Tamandua tetradactyla: one gene and its partners. The protein of the gene in region 3 purifies or fractionates together with the protein of the main gene of each other region. This does not show direct contact. Links are inferred from orthologs where the notes say so. Each region holds a gene or a part of one and is shown on either strand. Other genes may lie near its edges.

Region 1 (7,436 bases), on a different chromosome or scaffold from region 3:
TCTCCTGAGTCAAAGTAACCTGCTGGACAAGAGGGCAAAGCCCACCATCCGGAAAGAGGTTAAAGTCACCATAGGGATATAGGCCAGAAGGGAGGTTACCTTTTGGGGGGCACAAGGCACTGGGGAGCTGGAAATGCGCAATGTCTCGATGGGAGTGCTGGTTATACAGGTCTAAAGGCGGGTAAAATTCTGCAGGCTGAACGCTTAAGGCACTTTACCATATCCGTTACACCTTGATTAAAAAAGAAAAGCCCACCATTCACCCCACCCCTCCGGCCATGTTATGAAGAGACAAATGAACCCGCAAGCTCTCTTGTAACATGTTCAAGGCTGGCAGCACCTACAGCAGGGGCACCCCGGGGTCTTCACTCCTGTGCCTGGGGCTGCCAAAGCGGAAAGTGTGAGATGGAGGGTCTCTGGGCTGAGAAGCAGACCCTGGAGAGCTGTCCCCAGCCTCTAAAGGCTGGGTGTGTGGCAGGGTGGGCAGAGGAGAGGGGGTCCCAGATCCCTGCCCCTCTTTCGCACTCCCAAGGGCAGGCAGGGACACAGATGGCACCAGACAAGGTGGCCCAGCAGTCATACCACGTTCAACTGCCTCACCACATACTCACACTTGTCCCCTGCGTACCCAGGCCTGGGAGCATTGCGCTGTCTGGACTCTTACACTGTACCTCACTTTTCACCTCCAAGATCCCCCCAAATTAAACAAACACAAGAAGACCACAACCCCATCTCCAAGACTAATGGTGCAGGACCCCTATCATAGTGAGGGGGTGGTTTCTGGTGCGGATTCCACATTGATATCCTCACCCCTCTTCCCTGGGCTGATACAGAACCCTGACTGAGAATGGTCCCTCATGCCAGGGCCAGCGTCACAGGGTGGGGGGGACGGGGAAGCCCCAAGCCACCAGCTGAGGTCTACACAAGCCTCCAAGCACTTGGGAAGCACCTGTGTGTGCCAGAAACCACACAGGTGCTGGGGTGAAGTGACAACAAAGGCTCTGTCAACACCCTGCCCACCTCGCCATCTTTACCCGTCTCATCGCCTGCCTCTTCCTGACCTGTATTCTGGATCAGAAGAAAAGAAGGTAACCAGGGCACGAATCCCTGTGTTGGACAAGGACTGGGGATAGAATAGAAGCTGGGCACTCCAACACAACAGACGTGCACCCACCTCATCCAGCCCACTGGGCACCCAGAGGCCTCAGGCATGCCAAGTGTGCAATACAGTACAGCTGCCATGCTGATGCTGCCCTAAGCCCCTCTGCTCAGTTAGGACCACGGATTCGGAGAAGGGAGGAGGGCCCTCAAATACCATTTCTAAGCCAACTTCTTTGCCTTCCAGTTGTGGAAACTAAGGCCCAGAGTGAGGGAAGTCTTGCCATGGGTCAGAGTAAGCTGGAAGCAAAAGCAACACTAAGATCCAAGCTTCCATTACTGGGTGTTTGCTCAGACCCCACAGCCCTCCTTGCTGTCTCCAGGCCTCCCGCCCAGTCTATACCCACCCAGCAGAGATGCAGAACAGCCTGGGACAGACAAAAGACAAGTTTCTATCCCCAGGTCTGCCAGTGGTTGGGGAAAGACGGTCATGGTTGCCAGCCAATAAGGGGAGAGAGCACCCCCCTCCCAGCTCCTGCAGGGCCCTACAAAGCATGTCATAACTACCCACAAAGCACCCTGTGTCCATGTCTCTGCCGGGAACACACCCACCATTCCCAAACACACACACCAGAACCACCGGCGCATCTGTGGGGCTGAACCTGTTGGAATCTGGGCCTGTCCAAGGGATGGCTGAACGCTATGGGCCCATAAAACAGGACTTTACACCCTCACACTTAATTGTGCCCACATAGCACCAGGGGTTCACAGACCTGCCCCCCTGAGTCTGCCCAGGGATTTCCTCGAGAAAGAGCCTGCCCATTTTCTAAAGAGAACATGGACAAGGGTCAAGCTTCCTTCCTCAAGCCAGCTGCTAGCAGCCCCTCACAGGCAGTGTCCTCCCACATGACAGGAGGCGCCTCTCAGGTCACTGTCCATCACTTCCTCATCAGGCCAGGGGGATTCACACCAGCCGAACCTGACCCTGAAGGGAAGGGAAACACCAGAGTATATACTGCCAGGGGGCAGGCCAGGAAGTCAGCTTAATCCAGGAAATCTGGGCACCTCTTGCCACTGCCCCCCTACCTGATTCTGCTCGGACTAGGTGGGCCAGGGGACCGGGAGGGGTCCGGGCCCAGGCACTAGTGTCAGGCCTGCTTTCCCAAGCAGGCCTCACCGGAGAGCAGGAAAAGCTGAGGTTATCTGTTCCCAATCTCCAGCAGGCCCCGGAGATTCCTTAGGAACTGGAGGCAGGACATCGTATGAGTAGGTATCTGCTTCCAAGAAAACAGTATCCAGGCCCCAACGCATCTGCCCAGCTCTCTGCCCTTTGCCCTCCGCTAACCCCGCAGGCGCACAGACCATACAAGCAGCAGGTGCAGGACGCGGAGGTGGAACAGAGATGACAAAACCACACTCGCCCCCACCTCCTAAACCCTCCGGCCTCTGCCACAGCCATCCTGCCATCCCAGGCTGGCGCTTCCGTTTGGATACTGAGATGGAGGTGGGGGGGTGGGGGAGCTAGCTGCTCGCCTCCCTCAGACCGAAGGGTGGGAGGAGTCGCCGGGAATGCCCTTCCTCGCTAGTCCACGGACGCGAGGGGCCCGGGGACCCCAGGCCGCTCCTCCCGCCAAGGACGCGGCTCCGCAGTGGCCCTGGTGGGAGCCGAGGCCGGAGGCCGCAGCACCCCGCCCCGCCCTCCGGCCCCGCACGGCGCTACAGCCAGGCCCCGGCGCCTGCCCGGCGGCGGCCCCGGTGCATGGTCCCGCCCCCGGCCCGGCCGCGCTTACCCGGAGCGCTGCAGTCCGCACACACCTCCGCTCGCGGCCCCTTCCGGGACATCCTCAGCGGCGAAGCGGCCGCAGCCCTCTGGGCCAGCGTGGGGGGCGCGGGCGGCGGGCCCGGGAGGCGGCGGCCCCTGCTGCCCGGCCCGGCTCCGGCAAGGCCCCGGCTAGGCTCAGCGCGCCTGGCCAACCGTCCGCCCCCGGGGCCGGCCCGGAACCCGCGGCGCCCGCCTGCCCGCTCGCCCTCGGGCGCCCTCCGCCCCGCGCGGCCCCGCGCCGCCCCGCCGCCGCTCTCCGCTCGCTCTCTCCGCCCCCTACGCGGCTCCGGGCCGCTCCGGCAGGAAGCAGCACAGGCCCTGCCCACCGGGGGAGGGGCAACTGCATCCCCGCCCCGCCCGCCGCGCCTCCGGGAGAAAGGAAGCCGGGAGCGCGGGCGTGGGGGGGGGGCGCTTAAAGGGGCCGCAATCGCGGCACGGCCGCTGGCGCACAGCGTCGCCTGGGGCCGAGTCTCTGCTCCGGTGCTCCCCAAGCCCGGAGGCAGTGTAAGTCACCTTCACAGCCCTAACCCCTCCACTTTTGGGGCTAGGGGTGGCTCAGGGGCTGCTGAGAGCTGGGGATGGTGAGTCGGGGGTTGGGTGAAATCAGGAAAGAGAAGGAAGGAGATGGAGGCCGAGGTCCTCCTCCCTGTCAAAGGGCTGTGACAGTTCTCTTTTGGGGGAATGAGGGATGCGTTCTGGGCCACCAGATGCCCACGCCAGAGTGTTTGGTCACACTCTTACTGAGTACGCACACCTGCTCACAGTGTAGACCCCCCAGGTGCCAGAGAGGGTCCGCAAGGTAACCCGCTGCCTCCGGGCTAAAGAATAAATCTTGCCTCACCATGCTTCCATTCAGAGGAAAGAAACTGGGTGGTTCTTAAAGACCGACAGAGGAGGGGACCACCCGGCTGGTGTGCAGAAATCTCTACTTGTCATTTGTTTTATGTATATCCACCTTGTCTCTGGGCCACTAGAGGTGTGAGTCCAGAGCGTGCATATAACATATGGGGCCAGTTTCTTGTGATTGCCTCTTTCTGGACTTCACACGGATGCTGTGCAGACAGGCCGAGGCCCATGGAGTGAAAGTGCAGGCCACACGTGGGCGAACCCCGTCACTGACCATGCTCCCCCATACACTGTGCCCAGCTTGCATCCAGCTCCCATCCCTCCAGTGGCAAGAGGTGTGGGGAGAGAGGGCAGAGGTGCTCAGGACTAGGCTTGAGGGCCAGGTCTGGGGCGCAAGGTTAAGGGAACATTCCCCAAGCAACAGGGAGTCCTTCTCATTAACTGGGGTGGAGGTGGAGGGGGTGTTCCTTGGGCCGGGGTGCCAGAGTTGGTCGATTTTTCCCAGTGGCACCAGTGCCGGCAGTGATTTGTGGGTGGGCAGGCTGCTTCCCTGGGGAGACAAGTAATTCTCATGAGTCACCACCCGAAATATATGCAAAGCTGCCTCCATCGCTTTTTGCGGCAGCCTAGATTGACAAGTTTGCTTGAAATCGCGATCCACAGGGTATATTTAAAATCGCACCTTAAAAGAATCTCTTGCAAGCCTCCCTTCCCCCTATAGGCAGCCAGCCGCTCAGCTGCCGGGACTTCTGCCAGCAAAGATATCTCGCAGGCGGGGGTTGGGGGAAAGGAGGGGTGCACCACCTGCGGCCCCGTACCGCGCGGGCTCAGAGTCCACGGCTTTGATGGTGATAGGAGGTGCTGCGTGGTCGCCCGGATCCTGCGAGCAGCCCACGAGTGGTGCCCGTCCGTTCACCCCGAATCGACCCCCCCCCCAGCTCTGGAATTTCATTTATTAAATGTCAAGGCAGCTTCTGGCAGCCGGGTCGTTTGGCTGTCTTTGTTTCTCTGCTGTGTGGGAGCGTCTCGAGCACGTGGCAGCCACAGCGCTCAGGACGGTTTGGTGTCTCTGGCCGCCTGGGGTAGGCTGCCCCGCTCCAGGCTGAGCCCCTCTACCCCTAACCCTACCCACCCCTACCCCAGGCTACCGCCCTGTGCTCCCGGGCTTTGCAGGAGGATGATTCACCCCTATTCCAGCCTCATCTCCAGGTTGGCCGGTGGACTACCTGGAATTGACCCAGGCACGGATCCCATTCCCCAAACTTTGTTACAGAAGCCCCCGGCCCCTCCGCGGCCGAATTTCTGGATTTGGGGCTAGGAATAAAAGGACTTGATTTCTCTGTGGAGATGCTGCCACTCCAGGATGAAGGACTGCTAAACTAAAAGGAAATCACACACAAGATTCTAAAAATAATTTAATGAGAAAATGTACAAGAATCTACCCGGCCACTCCTAGCCGCCCCTCCCCCTCAGCAGCCCCCTCCCCATCTCCGGCCGCAGGCACGACACTCTGCTGACCTCTGGTGGTGTAGGAGGGCAGCGGTCCCCAGCGGCCGGAGACGCTAGCTGGCTCCTCCCAGCCTAGAGAAAGGGGCGCGGCAGTTCGCTCCTCCCTCATCCCTTCCCACCGGGGTCTGGCACCGCAGGGTGTGGAGGAGGAAGGAAAGACCACACAAAAAAGCCTGAGAGAGGAGCGGAGAGTTTACAAGCATTTGCTGGCACCTCCCACACACAAACACTTCTTCCATAGTTGTTCTAAGAGGGAGTGGAATCCCTTCTTTCTGCCTTATTCTAAGGTGGACTCCAGAAGGCCACCTGCTTCTGGTGTCCGCCTGGATGGGGGAGGGAGGGGCACCGATTCGAGGACCATAATATCCTGAGATCACCTAAAGACGTAATATCCAGAGTCACATTTTAGAGGTAAGTGGTTCCAGAAATGCAGAAAATTTAAGCAATTTACCTATGGTCACATATTTAGGCGTTTGAATTCGAACTCAGTTCTGTCTCACAGCACAGTTCTTGGGCTGAACCTCCTTGGGTTGGGCCTCTAGGTCCTTCCAGCTCTAGCAACAGGGAGCCCCGGAGGGCAATCAATTCCACACTTACCACACCCTCTCCGAGGTCCCTTCTGGCAGGGCCTCTCTGCCGAGGGGTCATTCAGTCTCTGAAATCAGTCACTTCCTCTCCTGAGGGGGCCACCCAGGCTGCGGAGCTGCCACCTGCTGCTTTCCCTGCTCAAACCCACTCTGGTTCTACTTAAGGACAGTGCATTGGAAGGGACTGTCCTCCTCGCCCCAGTGAGCCTTCACTCCCCGCCACCCCGTCAAATATTTAATATTCTAAGAGGAAAGGTTGGACTCCTCAGAATACTTCAGATGTCGGGCGTCTGGCTGCTCCAATAACTCTTGGTACTGATACCCCACACCTTTCTTAGGGATTTCCCTTTCGGCCACTTTTTGGGAGTCTGGATCCCTCCTCACGTCCCCTAGGATCCTAGGACCCTGAAGGCCACATTCCCTCCCCCTGCTGTCCCCCAATGCTCAAGATGGGTCTGTACCCCCCCATATTCTGCAGCAAAGGGCAAAATGCAAACGGGTGGGGGATGCTTCCCAGGCCACCTGGCATCAAGACACTCCTCCGTTTCGGCCAGATCCGACTCCTTCCTCACCATTTCTAGGGAACAGAAAGAGCGCGCTGGACCCTTTCCACCACCTGCCATTTCCAGCTCCACGAGGCGGACTACAAGCCCCATGATGCCGCGGGGCCGGACTAGAAGAGGCTCTGCCCGGGGCACCCGGGTCCCCCTCCTCTTTTCCCCGCAGCCCCGCAGCCCAAGCCGACCGCTCGGGCATAGGGCCGGGCTATGCAGCTGTGGGGAGCGGAGGGCTGCGGGCCCGCGTCCCTGGCGCGGCGGCAGCGGCGTCCGGGGGCCGGCTCCCAGTGCGCCCCCGCGCCCAGTGCGGGCGCCTGCTCCCTCCGCCGAGCCGCGTCTTTGTGTGCGGGGGAGTGGGAGGCGAGGCGCGAGCCCGCGCCGCGCCGCCGAGTGCCCGCTCCCTCCCCGGGCGGGTGGGGGCCTCTCCGCGCCGCCCGTCGCCGCCGCGACCGCTTCGCGAGGACGCCCGCCGCCCGCACCGCGCCGGGTGCGCCGCCCCCGCCCGCCGGCGCCGCTCGCACATGCCCGAGCCGCAGCCCTGCAAGCAGGGAGCGCCGCCCCCCCCGCCCCACGGCCCCGGGCCCCGGCTCCGGCGCCGTCCCTCCTCCCCGGCCGGGCGCCGCGGCCCCGGCATGAGGAGCGGGCGATGATCCCCGCCAGCGCCTCCGCCAGAAAGGGGCCCGAGGGCAAGTATCCGCTGCACTACCTCGTGTGGCACAACCGCCACCGCGAGCTGGAGAAAGAGGTCCGCGCCGGCCAGGTAAGAGCGTCGTCGGGACGCCGCGGGGACCCCGCGGCTGGGCACGCCCGCCCGGCGTGGGGAGGGGGCGCGGCGCGGGCTGTCCCGCCTCCCCGGCGAGTTAGAGATTCTTTGTTCGCGGCCGCGGCTTTTGTGTTTGTTGACCGCGAGAGGTTGATGGGAGCGGCCCCCCCCCCGCCCCCTCCGGCCGGGACTGGCGACCCTCAAGTGTTCCGGACCCTCCTAGATTGGGACAGGGGACACTGTGCCCCTCCTCC
Region 2 (7,641 bases), on a different chromosome or scaffold from region 3:
CATTTTATAATACTGTTACCCCAGATTATATAAAATAAGATTAAACTTTAGGATCGACAGTTCCTTATAATCTCCCCGCCTCAAAAGAACCAGGCTTTTTTTTGCTTTACTCTTCTATTTTGTTTTACTCTTCTTTAGAACACTAACACATAGTACAATACCTGGCACACAATAGGTGTTCAGTATTTATTTTGTAAGCCAAGCTTTTCCCTGAGCTACTACTAGCTAGAAGACTTAAATATTAGACAAAACAAAAACAGTAAAATCTCATCATTTTACATTTGTGGTCTTAAGCATTTACAATGTAGACAAAGGATTTATTAATTAAAGCGTACAACCAAATTTAAGGGGAACATTTATGTTACTAAAATATTTCAAGTACTATTCAAATTATCTAGTACATTAATTACAATTCCTATCTACTGAAATGGGTCTAACTGACCTTTATTGAGCATTGCTTTGTCAGCCTAGTTGGAGTCATCAAATGCAATAGAAAGCAATAAGATCAGAGGTGTACTATAAAGGACACTGGACTAGGACCTAGACTACAGCCCAGGCTCTGCTAATAATCAGATATATAACCTTGGGCAGTTCACTTTCTCATTTTTGGGTCTTAACTTATTTGTTAAAACAAGAGAGCTGAACTACTCCCAGGGACCTTTCCAATGTAATTTTTAAATGATTCTTATCTATAAATATTCTAATTTGATTTTCTGATAATGTTATGTTGTTTGATGATCAAGAAACATCACATTTTCTAAAACCAAGTAAAGTCTAGCAACAAATTACTTTTACTATCTTACATCAAGAGCAATAGGAGAAAACCAAAGGAGTAACATGAGCATAATAATCAAGCCTGCCTTGCCGTTTGGGGATACATGAGCCACATTGGATTTTACAACACAAATCACTGATACACACATATACATAAATATACATATATAGAGACACGTACCATTGAAATGTATTATTTATGTTGATTAACCTATGTATGTGTGAACTTTAAAACTTGATTTTAATTATAAAATTAATACTTGATAAAGGTTAAGAAATCAAAACAGTACATTAGGCCATCCATTTAGGAGTGGAAGTGCAATGCAAGTCTTCCACTCCTCCCACCCTTGACGTGTAGCAACTATTGTTAACATTTGTTTGTGTATCCTTCAAGAAATTATCCTAACAAATACATGTATACATGTTTGTGTATGTGTATAAAATGTTTTTAAACTAAACCGTTGCCCCTTCTTGAATGATGGGGAAAAAAAACACGCACAGGCTTGAGACTGTTTTGAAAGAAGAACTGCTAAGAGCTAGGCAGTCGCTGGCAACAAGAAGTATTCTCTTCAGAAATGTGTACTGAATTGAACACATTTCATTTTCGTGCCTGCAGGATATGTGGGGAAGTTGCACAGAAAGAACCATAGGCAAAGAGCCAGAAACCTGAGTTCTAATCTAAGTCGTGGAGAGCCAATGGGTAAATCATGAAATCGCCTCAGATTCCGGTTTTGTAAAAACGTAACAGAGCTGGGCTAAGATCCCTTCCAATTTTAAAATGCTATAATTCTAAGATGGCCGTCTGTAACAGTGTTCTTTTGAACTGATTTCAACAAATGTTATTAAGAAGGAGAAAGAAACAGTATAGCAACGTTTACTGTTACAAAAGTAAATTTCTCTGAGTCCTTAACTATCAAGCTGTGGTTGTGACAGAACTAGTGATATAACTGTATTTGAAAGCAAAGTAGTAGGTTATTAAAACCTGATAGGTTTTTTTTACAAAGATTTGACGTTTGTTTTCTTTTTTTTTTTTTTTTGGAGGTGGGGAGGACCATTGCTTATTTTTAGCAATAACCACCACCCCTATCCCCCAAAGAAAAAAGCTCCGTGCACTATTAAGAAAAAATAATGAAACTGAAGTTAAATTGACATTTTGTTTTACTCACAGAATATGCTGGAGCGGTGACTTGGGCACCAATGATTAGAATTACTAGCTAATTTTCTTTTCCGGAAGCTCTTTGGCCCCTATTATTTCTGTTTCACACGCCCTGGCCAGACACATTCCACAGGCATCAGGTGGGGGGACTTGCGGGAAATCCCTTTGATCATAAAAAAAAGTTCTTTAGCAGTCACGGGGTTCAGGGAGGCAGCGCCGCCGGCCTGAAGCTATACACGTTCGCCTTCCTTTGGCCAGTTCCTGGACTGCTGCCTTCCCGCCTTCCCGCCCTCCCCGTCAAGTTCGCTGCCTTCCCGCCCTCCTCCGCAAGGCCCAGTCGGAGGTGGGGAGGAGGGGAGGAGGGGAGGAAGGAGGTGAGCAGGAGGGGAGGAGGGGAGGAGGGGAGGAAGGGGGTGGGCAGGAGGGGAGAAGGGGAGGAAGGGGGTGGGGAGGAGGGGGGAGGGGAGGAGGGGAGGCTAGTGGAGAGGGAAACCCGCAAAGGCAGTACTCACCCGGCCTGGAGCGCCAGTCACGACCGCCTGCGGCACCCAGGGAGGTCCTGAGGGGAGGATCCCTAGGAGGGGCACCACCAGTCCCAATATGGAAATGCCAACTCTGTTCTGCAGCCAGGCCTGGGCCTAGGAGAAGGAAACGGAAGTCTCTCCGTCTCCCTCAACCGCATCCACCAACCGGCCCATCCCCCGGAGGAACCCGAGTCGGAGAGTCCAAAGTGCGTCCACGTCAGAGCATCAAAGAAACACTGGGCGTGGTCCAGCGGTCTCAAGGTCCGAGCCCCACTGACGGGGCCCCGGCAGCCAGTCCTTCCTGCCCGCCGCACCCCAAAAACTCCCGCCCCCGTGGAAGGTCAGCCTCCCGCCCTGTAAAGCCCCTCCTTCTTCCCCCCTCCGCCATTTTTCAACTTACACACTCGGGCTGAGGTGACCTTCGATTAGCGCCGCGCCCACGCGGGGCGCCAACACGGTCACGACACTTCCCTGAGTGGTAAGAGCAGCCAGAAAAAAAATATCGCCCAGTCTCGGCTCCGACCCCAGCTGGGAACGGGAGCCTGACGAACCTGGCGCACATGCGCAGTGGGTACCGCGCGGTGCCCGCCCCCTAGTTTAAGCGTTTCCTGCTTTAGCCTACAGGATGTTTTATTTCCCACGGTTTTTACCTGCCGGGCTCTAGGGTTAAGGAGTAGCCGAATAGAGATAAAGTAATGGACAAGGAATACGGAGAAGGGAGAGAACGTGTCTAATTCTTACTATAGACCAGATGCTGTGCTATATATATGTTCTTGTCATTTTGACAAACCTATGAGGTAGGCACTCTCTTACTAAATCCATTTTACAGAAGAAACTGAGACCCAGAGAGGCAAACTATCCCAATATCGCTCAGTAAATAAAAGAGAGAGCTACTATTAGGATAAGCTCTGTTTCCAAGAAGGGAAGAATGAGAAGAATAAGAAAGGGAGACATTCATTAAGAGAGAGAGAGAAGAAAATAATTTAGGAGGTGAATGGAAAATGAACAGGGGAATAAGAAAGCAGAAGGAAGCAGAAGGAGGGGAAACAAAGGAAGTGTAAGTACATAATGTGCTGATCATACCCTGGATTTATTTCAAATATGCTGTAGGATTGTCAGACCTACATCTGAATTTTTCTTTCAAGAACTCAGGCTCTCTAACAGGCTAGTGTGTTGAGATAATAATTTCTGAACCAGGATATTTAATGTCATGGAAAATATCAAAAGTATCGCCAGCATCCTCAAATGATGCTGTCTCCAATGAAAAGCAGACTTGGAGGGAGGAGAAGAAATAATTTTCTTTTTGGTTCTTGGGCTTTTGCTACAGTTGATATTATTCTTTCTGATCCTCTCCCACTGTCACAGCCCTGGTAGTCTCACATCTGACTTAGTGCAGTAATAGTAATTGCATGCACATGTTTATCTCATTTAATTCTCACAGCAATCTAATGAAGTATAACTATCATTACCCCATTGTACAGATAAGAAAACTGAGGTTTAAAGATATTAAGTGACATACTGAAGGTCACACTGCTAGTATGTACGGGAACTGGCCCAACAATTTTAAACCCAGATCTGTCTGATTACAGGTGTATCTAACCGTTACCCAGTCTCCTGACTTCTCTGTCCCTGGACTGGTCCCCCCAATTCGGCTTGCAAAAGGCCCTTTGAGCTAAACTCTTCAATACTTCTGCTTCCAGGATAATGTTAAAACTGCTCAGCCTCATTTTCACTCTCCCCTTGGGCACCCTACTGTTAGGCACGGAGTCATTAAGGAATCCACAGCAGACAGCCAGTGGAGGCTTAACAGATTTATTGAAGAGAGAGAAAGCAGAGAGAGTAGGTAGACAGGAGCCAGTGAAAGGAAAGAAAAATGGCTGGCCCTCTTTGTTCTGGGAGCTGTATTATAAAGGGAAAGTGATGCCAGGAGAGGGGAAGGGTGCCCACTAGGTGGTGTGTGGTCCCTTGATTGGATGGGGGCTTGTTGACTTAGGGTATCATAGATTACTAAGGTATTCTCCTTTGATGTACAACTGCATGTATTGGGCAGGGTGAGGTGCTGGTAGAGGAGGGTGTTATTAACAGAAACAGATTATGACTGTATTTCTAGTTATCTGGAATGTCTTCATTTGCCTGTAGAATACAATCCCAGCCAGTATGGTAATTGGTTCATATCTGGATCCTTGGACTTCCAAGGATGCTGAGGAGGGGGGCTGAAGGGGCTCTGTGTCAAGAATTCCTTTTGCTCTTAGAATTTTTTTTCTGGGACCTAATACCTTCCTTATCTTCCAATAAAACAAAACTACTCAATGTCTCCTAGCCCATCCCCTGCTTTCCTATCTTCCATTAATTTGTTCAAACTTATCCCTCTGCCTAGATGAAAAGACTGCCCCTATGCAAAGCCTTCTCTAGGTGTCTTAGCTGAAGGTTATCTCTTCCACCTCTGAACTCTCTTGGCGCTTGAATTTGTGCCTTTGTTATGAAGCACAGTGCTTTCTCTCATGCAGTATAGCTACTTGTTTACAGTTCTACAGGTTCTATAGTTCTAATGCCATGAAAATCTCCAAATTAAAGCAAGTCTATACAAATGTCCAAACCAAGGCACTATCAAGAGGTTACTGTCACTCAAGAAAGGCCGAAGAGTTCAGTGTTTCTCTTTCAATTGGGAAGGCACGTGGCCAACCTGTAGACAGCCTGCTAGCTTTCTCTTGAGGCTTCTTGCTGCATGAAGCTCTGTGGGAGAAGTTTTCCTTCTTCAGCTCCAAAGTTTGCTGGCTGGTGGACTCTGCTTCTTGTGGCCATGTCGTTCTAAAGCTTTCTCCAAAATGCTTCCTCTTTTAAAGGATTCCAGTAACCTAATCAAGACCAATGTAGAAGGGGTGGAAGCATGTCTCCATCTAATCAGATTTAATACCCACATCTTCATGGAGATAACCTAAACAAGTTTCCAACCTATAGTACTGAATAGGATTTAGAAGAAACTGTTGCTTCCACAAGATTGGCGAAGATTAAAACATGGCTTTTCTGGGGTACATAAATCCTTTCAAACTGGCACAGTATCTCTGCACATAAAATACCCCAGGTATATCTGTCTTTGCTGTTCATATCTGTAAATTAATAGTTCACCCAACATGCATTTACTGAGGCTCTGGCATGTTCATGAAATTTGTATTCACTCTTTTTAAAAAAAAATCAGCAAATTTGAGCACCTACTCTGTGCCAGACACTGTTCTAATCACTCAGAATTTGTCAATGAGCAAAACAAAGATCCCTGTCTTCTTGGAGTTTATATTCTAGCAGGTGTAGAGGGAACAGAAAGACAATAAATAAATACAATAATTAAATAAATTATATTCATGTTAAAAGTGATAGACGTCATGGAGAAAAGAAAAATTAGAGTGTGGAAGGAAGACTGGAAATACTGACAGAAGGAGTTGTAATTTTAAATATGGTGGTTGGGGTAGGCCTTATTGAGACACTGACATTTTAGCTGAAAAGACATGGAGGAGGTGAAGGACAAACCATAGCACTATCTGGGGAAAGTGTTCCAGGCAGAGTGAACAGCGAATGCAAAGGCAGGAGAGCTAAAGGAACAAGGAAGAGAGTAGCAAATGAGGACATAAAGGTAAAAAGGGATCAAGATTGTACAGGGCCTCTGTATTAGTTATCCACTGCCATGTAACAAAATGTCCTAAAATTTAGTGATTCAGGAGTAGCTTAACTGGGTGATTCTGACTCTTGGTCACAAGAAATTACAGTCATCTGAAACATGTGGCTGAAAGACCTTTTCCGAAGGTGGCTCATTCACATGGTTAGCTTGCTGGTGCTGGCCATAGTAGGGAGAAGTGAGGGAGAGGATTTAGTTTCTCTCCCTGGGAGCCTCCTTATCTGCTTTTGTAGTATTTTTAAGATAAGATGGCTAGTTTCCTCCAGAGCAAGCAATCCAAAGGAGAGCAAGCAGAAGGCACAATTCCTTTTACTATCTAAACTTGTAAGTTATATGCCATCACTTCCACCGTATCCTACTGGTCACACTTTCAGCCCTGGTTCAGTATAGAAGGGAACTATGCAAGGTTGTGAATAGCAAGAAGCAAAGATCATCAGGGGTCATCTTGATGGCCGGCCACCACAGTTTTGCAAACCATTATAAATCTGTGACATTTACTTTGAGTGAAATGGGGAGCCATTGAAGGGATTTCAGTAGAGAAATGACAATGATCTGACTTGCATTTTATTAGGATAGCTCTGGCTACTGTGTGAGTAGACTGGAGAGGGCCGTGGGTGGAAGCTGGGTGACCAGTGAATAGGCTATTACAGTCATCCAAGAGAGAGTTGGACTACAGTTGTAGTGGTGGAGTTGGTGAGAATTGGTGGTATTCTGGATGTATTTTGAAGATAGAGGTGACATGATTTGCGATGGATTGCATGTGGGGTATAAGAAGGAGGAATTAAAAATGACTAGAAGGGTCTTGGAGGAATTAAAAAATGAGTTAGACATCAGTCTTGTCATAAATGAGCTTACAACAGAGGGATCACTATCTTCTTTGTATAGTATAACAGGTATACAAAGCAAAGAAATAAAAAAGCAATAATTTTCAAAGCACTTTTCAACAAGTGGTTATAGGAGAGATCCCAGAGTTTGTAATGAGCTACCATACAATCCTCTCATATTTTTCCTTCTAGCTCCTCCAGAATATAGGAGGCTAGAGGGCTTAAATATTTTTTTATCCTCATATTCAACTTTTTTCCTTCTTTTTTGTGAAAAATAACTTATATACAAAAAAAGCTATAAATTTCAAAACACAGCACCACAATTAGTTCTGGAACATATTTCAGAATTTGACATGGGTTACAATTTCACAATTTTAGGTTTTTACTTCTATCTGTTCTAAAATGCTGGAGGCTCAAAGAGATATCAATTTAATGAGTCAGCATTCAGATTCATTTGTTAAATCCTGTCTTCTATGTATAATTCCACCATCACCTTTGGTCTTTCCATACCTCTCTCTAGGGGTGTTTGGGCTATGGCATTTCTAATTTTTTGGTATTGGAAGGGTCTGTCACTAATATGGGGTAGGGAGTGGAACTATCTGATGTTCTGGAGAGGCTGGGCTAGGTTTCATGACTTATCTGGACCAGGGACCCGTCTGAAGGTTGTAGATTTCTGGGAATTTAATCTAGTGCCTG
Region 3 (7,606 bases):
ATTTATCATGCTTGACTAAAAAAATTCTTGGACAGCAATGTCTAAGTTAAGACACCAGGCTAGTAGCCCGATCCAGAAACCATTCTGTGTGAGTGAAACGAAGGAAGTTTCAACTCATTCACTCCCATCCTCCAGTCAACCAAAGCCAAAACAACACTAGTAAAAATGGTTGTTTATACATATGTGAATGTGAGATGTTATCTTATCTTAAAACTGGGGGGAAATCTTGGGGCAGAGGTCCCCAAAATAAAGGTGGCAAGGTACTCAGGAAGGACTATCTTAAGAGAATAAAAAAAATCAAATTTATCTTATGTTTTATACCCAATGCTATACAGGGAACAAAGAATTAAACTAGAGGCTGACAGAGCCTAGTTATAATATGGTTGTAAAGTAGCTTTTAACCAAAATCCCTAAGAATATTTTTTAAACAAGAAAATTTGCAGTTTGAGAAACCTCAATTTGGTTTATTTTTACTTTCTGGCTTTTCAAAATTTCTTTGTTTCGTTGTTTTTTTCTCTCAATTTGTTTTTATTACTTAAAATTTGCCTTTAAATTGCTTGAAATTCCACATTACGTTACTTCTTCAGCCCCCCCAAGATTTAAAACCACACAATTTTTTAATAAAAAGAAAATTCCAACTATATCATCAGACATGTGATTAGAAGCTAACAAATATTTCTAGGATAGGGAATTATGGATCTAGATTTTCACTGAAATAATGGTTGGCACTTATTATCTCTAATTTAAAGTATTATGGCTTGGTGGGGGTTTTCTTGAAAGGTACATTTCACTTCTAATGCTGCTTGGCCCTAGTCAAATCAGTATCAAATAAAGGATTAAAAATTCAACGTCAGTAACTCTGCCTAACACTTCCTCCCCGACCTAGCAGTGAATAAGAATAATGGTAGCTGGCACTTCCTGAGCAGTCACTATGGGGCGGGAACCGACAAGGTGCTTACTATCCAGCTTCTTATTTAATTCCCACAACTTTCCCTTGAGGCACCTCTCTTGGGAGATGACCTGCTCAAGATTACCCCACAAGTAAATGGTGAGGTGGGGACTTGACTTGATGGGAGGATTCAATTCTCGAAGTTTTCAACAAGTATCTGACTAGAATAAATAAGCCAATACCCATTTATCTAGATCCATAACCCGTTAGTATTAAATAAATATACCTACTAGCGCTTATGTTTTAGTTTCTGACATTTTAAATTGAGAATATTACATACTATGGCTATTAATACTGAATTATCAGCAATTCACTGCTTCCTTAAAAAAATTAGTCTGTATTATTTCATATGCTAACATTACCGATTCGGCCTTTTTAACTTTTAAAGGAAATGCAGATAACTAAGAATGATTATTAGACAAAGTGATATCTGTTGAGTTCATTCATGATGCAAAAGAATCAAAACTTCATGTAAAAGAATCTTGTTTTCCTTATTAAACCAACTAAATGAACTTTTTTTTCCACCCTAAATGACAGAAAGTAAAGCTGTCTTCTGCAAGGTTAAAAAATATATTTCTGAGTGAAACGATTTTTAATTATATGCATAGAACCATGAAGTGTTCAGAATTCTTCACACTTGTGAGTCTGACAAATCAGTCAGATGGGCGGCTTAAAAAAATTCAGTTGCCTAATTGTTCTTGCATCTGAATAAGTTAGAGGAACAACTTCGAATGCCTAAAATTATCTAAATAAGCTGGGAAATCACAAATCACTTTAGAGACTAAGAGCTAAATTGGTACCAATGACAAGTATGGAGAACACTAATCAAAAAGAAGAACGATGCCAAAACAATTCCCTCGACTTTGCACGCTGGGAAACGTACCAGTTGCATTCTGAGTTTGACGAAACTGGTAGTAGTTCTTCAAGCTTCCTTGTTAACGCTAAAACTACACAAGCCATGCAGACACGCACAACTCTGCTAGGATTACACTGAGATTTTTGTTTCTACGGGAGGGGAGGGAAAAAACTGCATAAGTCAAGTCTTGTCTTCCTCGAGGGCCTGTGACCATCGGACAGCAATGAAAAGAAATGCCTTGAGTCACACAGGGCAACCCAGCTCAGGGAGCTTGCTCTGCTACATCCCATACCTAACACCCTAACGCACTCCCTCCCCTCCTTTTTAGCCCATATTCAATGAAGAGAAGAGTCGTAATCACATCCAGCTACTTCACAGCTAAACTCTTAAACGTTTCTCCCAGAAAGAGCAAACACCGTGACTCTAAAGCTCTAGGAGTGGCCAACAAGCCACTCATCAGAGCAAGTTTAGGGTCACCAAAGCAGCCCCGGAAACAGTGATCCAACAGTGTTAACTTGACAAGCGTTACCCGCCGCCACCGGGACACGGGAGGCGAAAAAGACAAACGAAAGGAGCGCGCTTAAAAAAAAAAAAAAGGCAAATTCCAAACGCCACCTAATCACCGTGCAAACGCGGGGAGGGCGGGGAGAGGCTTTCGGTGACTTCTGCCCTGGCGGGACGCGGGGCTCGGGAAGAAAGCGGGAGGGTGGGGTCCCCTTTTCCCTCCGGCCGGCACTCAATTCCCAACACCCACTTAAAAAAAAAAAAAAAGCCGGAACTAGGCACGCGGCGCCCCGCGGGCCCCGCGGAAGGTGGGAACGCCGCGGCCCTCAGAGAAGGCCGGGCGCAGGCCCCACGCGAGTCCGCGGTGCCGGCCGGACCTCGGCCTCCGCCAGGCCCGCCCCCGCGCGCGGCCCCCGCCCGGCCCGTCCGGGTCCGGTGCACTCACCCGTCTCCCACCACCACACACTTGATGGCCTGCATCTGGGCCGCTCGCTGGGCCGCGGCGGCGGCGGCGGCGACCGGACGCTGAGGTGAGGAGCGGCGGGCGCGGCACGCGGCAGGCTCGCGGCGCGGCGGGGCGCGGGGTGCCGGGACCGCTGTCCACGCCGCCTGGCCCTCAGTGCACTGGCAGCCAAAGCCCAGCTGCAGCCACCACCCAAAGCTGGCGGAAAACTGCAGAGAAACAGGAAATGGCCGCTCCACTCACATCCGGCCTCCCTTCCCCCGCCCTGGCGCCGCCGCTCCTAGGCTCCCGGGCGGGGCCGCTCCGGGGGCTTCCTCTCGGCCTCGGAGATGCTCGGGAATGCTCGGGAACGCTCGGGAGCGCTCGGCTCTCAACGCGGACGGACGGGGCTGGCCGCCATCTTTGCGCCGCTGACCGGGTCTTGGCCCGGGGACTAGTCTTCGAAGGAAGTCCTGAGTTCCCGGGAACAGCTTTTCTCTGAGAGCTGTCCCAGACCATCTGAAGGGCGTTGACAAACCCCCCCCTTTTTATTATCCTTTTTACGTGATAGTTAACATGACAGAAGGTTCTTTTAGGAAATTCGGAGTCCAAAACCAGAAAGAAGAAAGATGCATATAACACGCAGTTGCAGATATCACCAAGGTTCATTTGGCCAAAAATGTAAACTTTTCTCACGTATGCACTTTCTCTTATGTTTAATGTTTTGCGTGCCTGTTACTTCCTATGATTTGTACCAAGTTCTGAGGAGAAAACTGAACCAAAGTTCCTTTGCGTTGACGATGTTGGCACATCATTAATGTGCGGATGACATGTTTCCAATTAATTATTTTTTATATACATAATGAACATGTCAAAATTGAGAGGATCGCCCTGAGTCATTGTTAGAACCTCGTTAACATCGGCTTCCTATTCCGTTATACCGTAATGAATTCAACCAGTTCTAGTATTGTGGGGCAGATGGATTGTCTCTAAAAAGCAATGCTGAAAGGTACTTGCTTGTGCAAGAATCTTTGTCTATAGCTTAGTTGCTTTAGATTGTGTTCCCATAAATGGAGTTAGTGCATCAGTAGGGGTGAGTGTTTTTAAACCTCGATTCGTGTTGTTGCGTTGCCCCACTGGAAGGCAGTTACGCTCCCTGGTTAAGAGTGGACCCTCCTGGGAAGTTGATTTCTGATGTTTCATCTTGTGGGCCCTTCTCTTTCTATACCTCACTCTGTTGCCCACCCGTGTAACAGTCTTCTGAAATCAGATCTTTTCTGCACACATATTTAAGAAGAAAAAAAAGACCGTATTTATCTTGTAATTATTTCAACATGAATGTGTTCCCAGGGAAAGGATACCTTTTTGTGTTGTCGATACAGATCAGCCTTGAGTAGTTGAAATTTCAAGGGTAGTAGCGGAATAACATCCCCATTTCTGTCACTGCTTACACAGATTTCTGCTGAATTTGCGACAAATCTAAACTCCTTGGCGTAGTTACCTTCATGTCTTTTAGAATAGGGGCAAATAAAATGGCAGGGTCTCACATCTGTTATTCAATTAAATGAACAGCTGATTGTGCTGCTGTTGCATAATGCTCTGGTAGGGAACGAATAAGATAGAGACAGTTGCTGAGATATCAGTCCCACTCGTCAGTGCTAAGGTGGGCTACAGATATGTTTATCAGGAGGCAAAGCACAGAAGAGACATCATGCTAATAAAAAGAATTTCATCGAAGACATGACAACTGAGCTGAGAATTGAAAGATGGGTTTGGGTAGGATTTTTGATGGCTGTTGATGGGGTGAGAAGAGTTTCCCACAGAGAGAACAAAGTCCTGTAAATCAAATGTTGCAGAGCTAGCAAGGGAGTAGGCCACCCTCAGATGTGACCCAGAGAAAGCCAGAGGTTTGCCCTGCTCCAAGTCCAGAATCAGGCTGACTTGCAGAGTGCCTTGAGTGTGAACTTTATTCTGAAATGACATGAGTCTTTGAGGCAAGATATGATACAATCAAATCCAGATCATTATTTCTCCAGCTTGATAAAATGAAAGCATACAGGAAGTTCGACTGTGACCATAAGGTAACAAAACTAATGTACAATCCGCATATGAAAATGAGTCCATTTAAAAATGAGTAATCATGCTTCTCCAAGTTTCAGCTTGTCTAATTGTAATTGTCCCCATGAAAATAAATAATAATTTTTTAAAGTTTAAAGAAAATTAATAAAAGCAAATGCTGTATTAGACCATGTGTGTTCTGAATGTGCTGTATAGTTACTAATTTATCAGGTGCCTACTATATATGGAATCCTATGCCCTGTCTAAAGCATTCAGGGTCCTCTGTTAATGTGTTTGCTGAGTGCCCACTCTGTTCCAGTCACTGTCTAGGCTTCCAAAGTGTGAAATGGACAAAACAGATCCCTACGATGAGGAATCTACAAATCAGTGGAAGAGGTGGTCAATAGGCAAGTGAACTTATGTTCATTTACAGATTAAGACGTAGGTTGGATGCAAGTATCTCCCACCCAAAACCCCACTAGAATTTCAGTAAAGGGATTTGTTTAAGGCATAATCCTTTTAGGGAAAAGGGAAGAAGACAATTGCTATTAGCAGCTGGAATGAGATGCGTTGGGAAGGTAGACAGGGTAGACAGCCACCTGAGATAGCCAACACCTGATCTACGCCAGAGAATGTTCACCTGGCAGCACCAGGTACCTACCGTTGGAGGTGAAGGCAGAGTAGGACAAGATAGATGGGATGAAAGCAGAGAAGGATGGAGCAACCTACATAACCTCTTAACCATGCATTGAGCAGGGTGGTTGCCCTCCTCTCCTCCTATAGAAAGACTGGAGGTTCCTCTCAGAAGAAGGCAACCAGAGGGTCTCAGGACCAGAGGACTTCAGGCATAGGGCCTCAATAACAAAACAAAAACAAAGGGATGTAGTAATGCTAGGCTGTATCTTGAAAACCTCCCTTCTTCCTTCTCCCCCGCCTTAAGAATGCTGACAGCTTCCTTCCAGGTAGGGGTTTGGAGGGCTCTTCTCTGGGGAACCTGCCACTCCTGCCCTGTTGGCAACACCAAAGAGAGAACAACATGGGAAGCCTTCCGAACCCCTTAAAGCATCCCGCCAACTTTTAGTTTTTCACTTTTGACCAGCAACAGATCACCAAAGATTATCAAATATTTGAGGAAAACCTCAAGAATGGAAACTAGAAGTCAAAATAATATAAAGTCAAAATAAATAAAATTTGAGGAAAACAAAGCATGGCAAGGAGAAGAAAACTTAAAAAAAAAAAAAAAAGACTCTCAACTTCTTCAGATAAAAGAATATAATTCATCCATGAATAAGAAGGGATTTATTCTTATTATTTTTTTAAAAGGAGCATTCAGAAGATTTTAAATTAAATGAAATTAAAAACTCTTGGAAATTAGAAGCAAGTTAACAGAAATGAAAAAAATTCAATAGAAAGGCTGGAACAGCAAGTTGAAGAAACCTTCCAGAAAACAGATTCAAAAGTCAGAGAGATTAGGAAGGAAATTGTAAGAACATGAGAGAAACAGTCCAGAGGGCAAATCATCTGAATAATAAGGAGTTCAAGAAAGAAAGAACAAAGAAATAGCAAAGGAGGATATCTCCAGTGAAAATATTCAAGAAAATTCTCCAGGCCTGTAGGACAAGTATTTACAGGTTGAAAGTACCAGCCCCCTAAGTACATCATTATGAAGCCTCAGAAAAATGGGAGCAGATAAGATCCCAGGAGCTTCCAAAAGGAAAAACACAGGCCAAAAGAAACAGAAATGAAATGGCTTCAGGTTTCCCCAACAGTGGCCCTGGAGATTCTGAAGGAAAATGATTTTCAGCCAAGAATTCAGCCCATAGCCAAACTATTGATCAAGTGGGAGGGCAAAATAAGGACATTTTCAGACAAGTAAGAGTTCTCAGAAGCTTTTACCTCCCACACACCATTTGCTAAATTATTTCCCTTAAAGCTGTTGGAGCTTATGGAGGAAATAAACCAAGAAGTAGCTGTGAGACACAGAAACCAGAGATCCCACACAGCTGAAGGGAGAAGGGGCCCCCTGGGATGCTGGAGCCTGGAAAACCAGCCCACATTGCAGCAGGGAACTGTGGCCATAGACCACAAAGGGTCAGTGTTCACGGCCACTTCCCAAGGGTGATCAGCCGGAAGGTGTGGAAGACACACCAGCTCTTATTTTGATGAGTGTTGAACATTCAGATGACAAGCAAGGAAATGACAACAATGAGGCAAAAGAGAAGGGTGTTCTTGATGTGAATGGTTTCTCTAGAGCCCATGCCTCTCTCTCTCTGTTTTCCCCCTAACATTTTCTTTTTTTTTCTTTTTTTCTTTTTTTATTTTTTTATTAACGGAAAGAAAAAAAAAAGAAATTAACACAACATTTAGAAATCATACCATTCTACATATGCACTCAGTAATTCTTAACATCATCACATAGATGCATGATCATTGTTTCTTAGTACATTTGCATCGGTTTAGAGGAACTAGCAACACAACAGAAAAAGATATAAAATGTTAATATAAAGAAAAGAAATAAAAGTAGTAGTAATAGTAAAAAACAACAACAACAAACAAACCAACAAGCAAACAAAAACAAAAAAAACCCTATAGCTCAGATGCAGCTTCATTCAGTATTTTAACATGATTACTTTACAATTAGGTATTATTGTGCTGTCCATTTTTGAGTTTTTGTATCTAGTCCTGTTGCACAGTCTGTATCCCTTCAGCTTCAATTACCCATTGTCTTACCCTGTTTCTAACTCCTGCTGAACTCTGTTACCAATGACATATTTCAAGTTTATTCTCGAATGTCCGT
Region 4 (7,140 bases), on a different chromosome or scaffold from region 3:
AAAAAATAAAACAGGACTTCCGGAGAAGATGGCGGCTTAGTAAGACGCGCGGGTCTTAGTTCCTCCTCCAGAAAAGCAACTAAAGAAACAGAAACAATACAAAACAGCTCCCGGAGTCACGACAGAGACCAAAAAGACAGCGTACCCCATTCTGGAACAGCTGAACGGGCAGGGAGAATCTGCTGCGGTGAGCTACCCGAGGGGCGCGCGTTTTCCCGGCCGGGGCGGCTGGCGACTGGGGTCCCCTCCACGCACGTGGCTCCCCGGTCTGACTGGGAACGTTGGATAGCGGGGCCCTCCCGTCACACTTGGCGTTTTGGGCCAGCTGGGCAATTAGGACCGGCACTCCCCCAAGTCAGGGCGGCTGGCGACACCCCCCGCCCTCCACATGCGGTTTCCCGGGCCGACTGCCGTGCAGACAGACGAGCGCCACGAGCGCCACCTACTGGGGAGGAAAAGAAAAACAGAGCCCAGAGATTTCACAGAAAAAGCTTTCAACCAGCTGGGTCCCACACCCAGGGAAATCTGATCAAATGCCCAGACACCAGCAGAAAATAATGGATGACGCTCGGAAAATTGAAGATATGGCCCAGTCAAAGGAACAAACCAATAGTTCAAATGAGATACAGGAGCTGAGACAACTAATGCTGAATATACGAACAGAAATGGAAAAATTCTTCAAAAACCAAATCAATAAATTGAGGGAGGACATGAAGAAGACATGGGCTGAACAAAAAGAAGAAATAGAAAATCTGAAAAAACAAATCACAGAACGTATGGGAGTGAAAGACAAAGAAGAAAAAATGGAAAAAACAATGGATACCTACAATGGTAGATCTAAAGAGACAGAAGCTACAATTAGTGAACTGGAGGATGGAACATCTGAATTCCAAAAAGAAACAGAAACTATAGGGAAAAGAATGGAAAAACTTGAGCAGGGGATCAGGGAACTGAATGACAATATGAAGCGCACAAATATACGTGTTGTGGGTGTCCCAGAAGGAGAAGAGAAGGGAAAAGGAGGAGAAAAACTAATGGAAGAAATTATCACTGAAAATTTCCCAACTCTTATGAAAGACCTAAATTTACAGATCCAAGAAGTGCAGCGCACCCCAAAGAGAATAGACCCAAATAGGCGTTCTCCAAGACACTTACTAGTTAGAGTGTCAGAGGTCAAAGAGAAAGAGAGGATCTTGAAAGCAGCAAGAGAAAAACAATCTGTCACATACAAGGGAAACCCAATAAGACTATGTGTAGATTTCTCAGCAGAAACCATGGAAGCTAGAAGACAGTGGGATGATATATTTAAATTACTAAAAGAGAAAAACTGCCAACCAAGACTCCTATATCCAGCAAAATTGTCCTTCAAAAATGAAGGAGAAATTAAAACATTTATAGACAAAAAGTCACTGAGAGAATTTGTGACCAAGAGACCAGCTCTGCAAGAAATACTAAAGGGAGCATTAGAGTCAGATACGAAAAGACAGAAGAGAGAGGTATGGAGTAAAGTGTAGAAAGAAGGAAAATCAGATATGATATATATAATACAAAAGGCAAAATGTTAGAGGAAAATATTATCCAAACAGTAATAATACTAAAAGTTAATGGACTGAATTTCCCAATCAAAAGACATAGAATGGCAGAATGGATTACGACCCAGCAATACCACTGCTAGGTATCTACTCAAGGGACTTAAGGGCAAAGACACAGACGGACATTTGCACACCAGTGTTTATAGCAGCATTATCTACAATTGCAAAGAGATGGAAACAGCCAAAATGTTCATCAACAGACGAGTGGCTAAACAAACTGTGGCATATACCTACGATGGAATATTATGCAGCTTTAAGACAGACTAAACTTATGAAGCATGTAATAACATGGATGGACCTAGAGAACATTATGCTGAGTGAGTCTAGCCCAAAACTAAAGGACAAATACTGTAAGGTCCCACTGATGTGAACCGACATTTGAGAATCAGCTTGGAATATATCATTGGTAACAGAGACCAGCAGGAGTTAGAAACAGGGTAAGATAATGGGTAATTGGAGCTGAAGGGATACAGACTGTGCAACAGGACTAGATGCAAAAACTCAAAAATGGACAGCACAATAATACCTAAGTGTAATGTAACTATGTTGGAACACTGAATGAAGCTGCACCTGAAATATGGTTTTTTGTTTGTTTGTGTGTTTGTATCTTTTGTTTTTGTTTTTTTCTTTTTCCTTTTTATATATATATATTATTAGTATTATTATTTTAATTCTCTTCTCTATATTAACATTCTATATTTTTTTCTGCTGTTTTGCTAGTTCTTTTCCTAAATCGATGTAAATGTACTAAGAAATGATGATCATACATCTATGTGATGATACTAAGAATTACTGGGTGCATTTGTAGAATGGAATGATTTCTAAATGTTGTGTTAATTTATTTTCTTTTTTTTGATTAATAAAAAAATTAAAAAAAAAATAAATAAAACAAAATCTTTCAAATTACCTCTAAGACAGCCCTGGGCAGAGAAAAGCAGTCATCTGCTTTTTGAAAATGGGAGGACTGGAAACTGGAAAGTCACTCAAAGTCCATATTTGCAGGAGCAGGAGGGACCCCCAGAAGCTTCTAGAGAAAGTGTTCTCTAGAAATTTAGATATTTGGCAGACTCTGTTCCTGTAAGCTTCCATCCCTGTAATTTCTAGCATTAATCAGAGCACAGCCAGGGCATAACTGGACTTCTTTGTGATTTTCATAAACCTAATGGCTGAACTGGGGTTCCTGATGCCCATCATCATACTTCTCCATAAGAACAAGGGAAGATTTAGGCAACTTTTCTCCTAAACATGCGTGTGACAAACTCACTCCTTTTGATAAGTGTGCTGGTTTGAAAGGATTATGTACCCTAGGAAAGCCATGTTTTTTTTATCCTGATCCAAAAGAGGAAACATTTTGGAAAGCACCCTGAGAACCACAAAAGCTCAAGCAGCCAGAGACCTTTGGAGACGAAGAAGGAAAACACGCCCGGAGAAGCTTCATGAAACAAAAAACCTATAAAGCTAGTAAATGTCGCCATGTTGCCCATGTGTCTTTCCAGTTGACAGAGAAACCCTGAACCTCATCTGCCTTCTTGAACCAAGGTATCTTTCCCTAGATGCCTTATACTGGACATTTCTGTAGCCTTGCTTTAATTTGGACATTTTCACCATCTTAGAACACATAAACTTGCAACTTAAAAAACTCCCCCTTTTAAAGCCATTAGGTTTCTGGTATATCGCCTTCTGGGAGCACGCAATCTAGAACAATGAGCGTTACTTAACCTGCTTCTAGACTGGCTTTTGGGACTAATTCTAGTCAAGTTTTCTTCGGCTGGCCATTCCCATAGGCTTTTGCACGCGTTTGTCCATGGCTCAGAGGGGAGATGTGGCTGTAGAGATCGGTCGGTGCAGGGGCGCTTCATGTTCATTTTGTCCTAAGCGTGTACCTGTTGTACCTGGAACCTGGAACTTAAGTTGTACTAGCTTCCATCCTGACGGTGAAGTAGTGAGTCCATCTGCAGTGCATCCCACCCACCACTCTGACCCCGCTGACCCCTGAGGGGCGGGGAAGGGAGGTGTAGACCTGGATCCTTCAGCGTCCAGAGCTGGGTGGCTCCAGCCTGTATGCCCCTGTCCTTTCAGAGCTGATACCGCCTATGCCGGCTGGTGGTCCTCAGGACTCTCTGCCCTGGAGAGCACCTTCGGGGGCGGCTCGGGTGCTTCCTTCCCGCCGACCTGGGTCTGGTGTGAGCGTCTCAACCGCGAGGAAAGAAGCCCGGCTGGTTCCAGGGACCGGGTAAAAGGGTTAGGAAAGAGAAGTGCGGCTTAGCCGGATTGGGCGGGTGCGGGGGACTAGGTAGGGGGAAGAGAGGGTGAGGGGAGGAGTGGTGGTGAGTGCGATGCGTGTAGCGAGCAGAGGGCCGGGTGGGGGCGAGGCGGGGGAAGAGAGGCTGGTAGGAGGGAGGTGTGAAGCGGACGGCGCGGAAGCAGGAGCCCAGGCCCGCCAGGCGGCAGGGACCGGGAAGTCCAGGGCGCGGCCGGAGCGTGAAGGGAGGAGCGCCGGGAGGAAGGGGCCGAGCCGGGAGAGCCCCCGCCCCAGGAGGAAGGGGAGGAGGCCGGGCGTTTCCTGGCGCATTCCCGGTCCGCCCGAGTGACTCAACCAGGAAACTCGCAGGGCCCGACCGGGACCCTCGAGCCGCCGCGGACCCAGGTGAGGATCGTCGCTGTCCCCGCCCCGGCCCGCGGCTTCCATTTGGGGTCTCGGGCCCCCTCAGAATCTCTTCCCGGATAGGTGTTGCGGTGCCGAGATCCGGGCCCCGAGGGCGGCCGCGACCTGGCCCTCGGTGGCGCGGCCTTCCTGGGGGGTCCACTCAGACTGCCTCCGGACTATGGGACCACGGACTTCCCTTTGCCCGTCCCCCTCCGAACCTCCTGATGCAGGCCTCCAAGACTCGTTGTCCACAGGCTCCTCCAATCCCTTGGCCCCCAGGACCCCGGCTTCTAGCTCTCTCCCAACCCGAACCCTTGGCACTCAGGCCCCTCGGCTCCCTGATGCCCCCGTATCTCCCAGCTACCCAGACGCCAGCGTCCCCGGCCCCAGCTGTCCCGGCCCCCAGGTTCTCCCAGTACCCGGTAGGCGCCTGGCACGTGGCGGGGGCTCCAATGGGGAAGGAAAACGGTGTTTTGCACGTGATTGTTGGAAAATAAGGGGCAGACGCTTGTTAACTCCTACGCCGCAGGGTGCGCAGGACTACCACCAGTTTTGATGCGCGACCTCTCCGAGGGAAGGAGGGTTCTTGGAGAGATGAGTTTTGAGCTTTGTTAAGGAGCCCGGAGAGTTACGTGGGTAGAACTATTTGGCACAGCCAGGACGATCCGAGTGTTTTCAGCCTGGAATGCCGGCACTGAATTTTTCCAGCGTGGGTTGGATGTGAGAAAAGCGCCAACCGAGGTCGGTGTCTGGATTATGTCTAAATGATATCGATAGTGCTTGCTTACTAAACCCTGTTTTGAATTATTTGTGCTTTCCGTGGGCCACTGAGATTTTTGGATTTATTTTCTGAAAGTAGAGGGCACCTACTCTTAACAATGTTTTGCTCTCCCGTGAGCCCAGTGGGATTTCTTGGCCGTTTTCTACCGTGATTCCGTAAATGATTCTTGATTGAGGCAGAAATGATACCCGGTACTGCAACGCAGATTGCAGTTTTTCTCACAAGCTGTTAAGTACAGCAAGCAGCTTGATGACTGTGCTTTAGAGTCCTAGCCTCATTCAGCTGGAGGCTGGAACTCCGAACGGTGGGAACCATTTGCGTCCGCTGGACAAGTGAAGGGTCTCCACGTTTGCCCCTTATCCCTGCAGTTCCTGTGAACAGGTCTACAGGCACCGAGAAATAGTCATGACTTAAGTGCAGGCCTTGGGCAGGACTGATTTGTCAGAATTCAGTAGGAAGCTGGTGCGGATGTCCCATCTTCTTCCTCCCTATAGTTGTGGTTTTTCCAGAATGCTATATAAAAGTAATAATTCAGTATGCCGTCTTTTAAGTCTGGCTTATTTCATTTAGAATGCACTTGAGAGTCACTCATACTCTAAATTTGTCCCTTAGGGACAAATTTAAAGCAAGGTCTGAAAACTATAGCTCTAAATAGTATACAGCCTGAAAGAGATTAAAATAATGGTTCTAAGTGCTGAAAAAAAGTTGCAAAACTCCAGCTCATTAAAAAAGGTTAAAGAATACAGGACTACATACATTTTAAAGTGAAATCGCTCAGTGCTTGAACAGAAGTATATAGCCTTTTCTGAACAGTTTTTCTTATTAACGAAATGAGATTATATTGTATATATTGTCATACTTTATTACTTAATGAGTTTGGATCACTTAGAAGATCTTAGGGGTCCTTACATGTAGTATATGTAAGCACAGATTTCCCTCATTGTTTTTAATGGCTCTATGTATTCCATAGTGTGGATATACCATAATTTAATCAAATAATGTTAATTGATATTATTATTATTCCCCATTTTTACCATTATAGTCGATGCTTGTGCCTAAACCTTTACATACATATTCAGGATTATTCTGGCAGTAAAGTTTGGTTATAATAGTTGCTAGCATTTCTTGTGTACTAATGCTCCAAGCATTGTACTAAATTGGGGTCTACTTTTTCTGTAAAGGTGAAAATAGTGAATATTTAACTCTTTGAAGGCCATATGGTATCTGTCTCTGCTTTTGTAGCACCAAAGCAGCCCACACAATATGTAATGAATGGGTGTAACTGTGTTCCAATAAAACTGTGTTTCAAAAAATTGGCATTGGGCTGTAGTTTGCTGATCTCTCTTCTCAGTACTTTGCATACTGACTATTCTCACAGCCCCCAAAATATGTGCAATTATTATTTCCTTTTTATGGATGAGAAAACTGACATGTGAAATGAAGTGTGTGGCCAGTGTTATCTGCCTGGGAAGTGGCAGAGCCAGTCTTTTACTCAGACATAAACACTTCACTTATAAGGACAAATTAAAGGTTTGAAATACGCTGTCAAGCTGCCCCCAAATGTTATGTTTTATTAGAGCTTTTATATTTGAAAAACATTTTATAGTGTGAAGTTTTAAGAAACTAACATGTTCCAGCTACTGTCACTATCTTTGTTACTAAAATTTAGCTGGTCCTTATTGGCCATAGGTATAGAGCATGGATTAATTACATTCACATAATTAAGAAACTTTATTTTAGCCAGTGGAATAAGGTCAGAAAAATAAATGAAAGATATACAGATTGGAAAGGGAAAGTAAAACTATCCCTATTTGCATTTAACATTTGTATAGAAAATCCAAAGAATCTAGGAAAAAGCCCCTAAAACTGGTAAATGAATTTATCAGGATCACAAGAAACAAGGTCAACATGCAAAAGCCAGTCTTATTTTATATGCTAGCAAGGTATAATTGGAAAGCAGAATAAAAAAAAAATACCATTTTCAATAGAAAACCCCAAATACTTAGGTTTAAATCTAACAAAATATGTAAGGATCCATATTCTGAAAGCTATAAAATGCTCATGAAAGATATCAACACCAAATAAGTGGAGAGATATACAGGGCTTATGGGTTGGTACTC

The links.
Region 1: the proteins of RAC1 (region 3) and GIT1 purify together in Homo sapiens (affinity purification with mass spectrometry; 3 studies listed by BioGRID). This does not show direct contact. The link is inferred for Tamandua tetradactyla from reciprocal best matches to the Homo sapiens genes RAC1 and GIT1.
Region 2: the proteins of RAC1 (region 3) and XIAP purify together in Homo sapiens (affinity purification with western blotting; 3 studies listed by BioGRID and IntAct, with this or other methods). This does not show direct contact. The link is inferred for Tamandua tetradactyla from reciprocal best matches to the Homo sapiens genes RAC1 and XIAP.
Region 4: the proteins of RAC1 (region 3) and CYFIP1 purify together in Homo sapiens (pull-down; 3 studies listed by BioGRID and IntAct, with this or other methods). This does not show direct contact. The link is inferred for Tamandua tetradactyla from reciprocal best matches to the Homo sapiens genes RAC1 and CYFIP1.

Annotation. Positions count from the first base shown.
Region 1 is NC_135332.1:52,835,437-52,842,872, forward strand, and holds the start of GIT1 (ARF GTPase-activating protein GIT1), read right to left. Parts: upstream 3,019-7,436; 5' UTR 2,941-3,018; coding exon 2,889-2,940; intron 1-2,888. UniProt on the Homo sapiens protein: GTPase-activating protein for ADP ribosylation factor family members, including ARF1.
Region 2 is NC_135353.1:41,719,295-41,726,935, forward strand, and holds the start of XIAP (E3 ubiquitin-protein ligase XIAP), read right to left. Parts: upstream 3,021-7,641; 5' UTR 2,855-3,020; intron 2,795-2,854; exon of another isoform or gene 2,569-2,794; 5' UTR 2,443-2,568; intron 2,305-2,442; exon of another isoform or gene 2,142-2,304; intron 2,094-2,141; exon of another isoform or gene 1,941-2,093; intron 1-1,940.
Region 3 is NC_135349.1:5,559,258-5,566,863, forward strand, and holds the start of RAC1 (ras-related C3 botulinum toxin substrate 1), read right to left. Parts: upstream 3,011-7,606; 5' UTR 2,790-3,010; coding exon 2,755-2,789; intron 1-2,754. UniProt on the Homo sapiens protein: Plasma membrane-associated small GTPase which cycles between active GTP-bound and inactive GDP-bound states.
Region 4 is NC_135338.1:74,226,113-74,233,252, forward strand, and holds the start of CYFIP1 (cytoplasmic FMR1-interacting protein 1), read left to right. Parts: upstream 1-4,123; 5' UTR 4,124-4,239; intron 4,240-7,140. UniProt on the Homo sapiens protein: Component of the CYFIP1-EIF4E-FMR1 complex which binds to the mRNA cap and mediates translational repression. In the CYFIP1-EIF4E-FMR1 complex this subunit is an adapter between EIF4E and FMR1.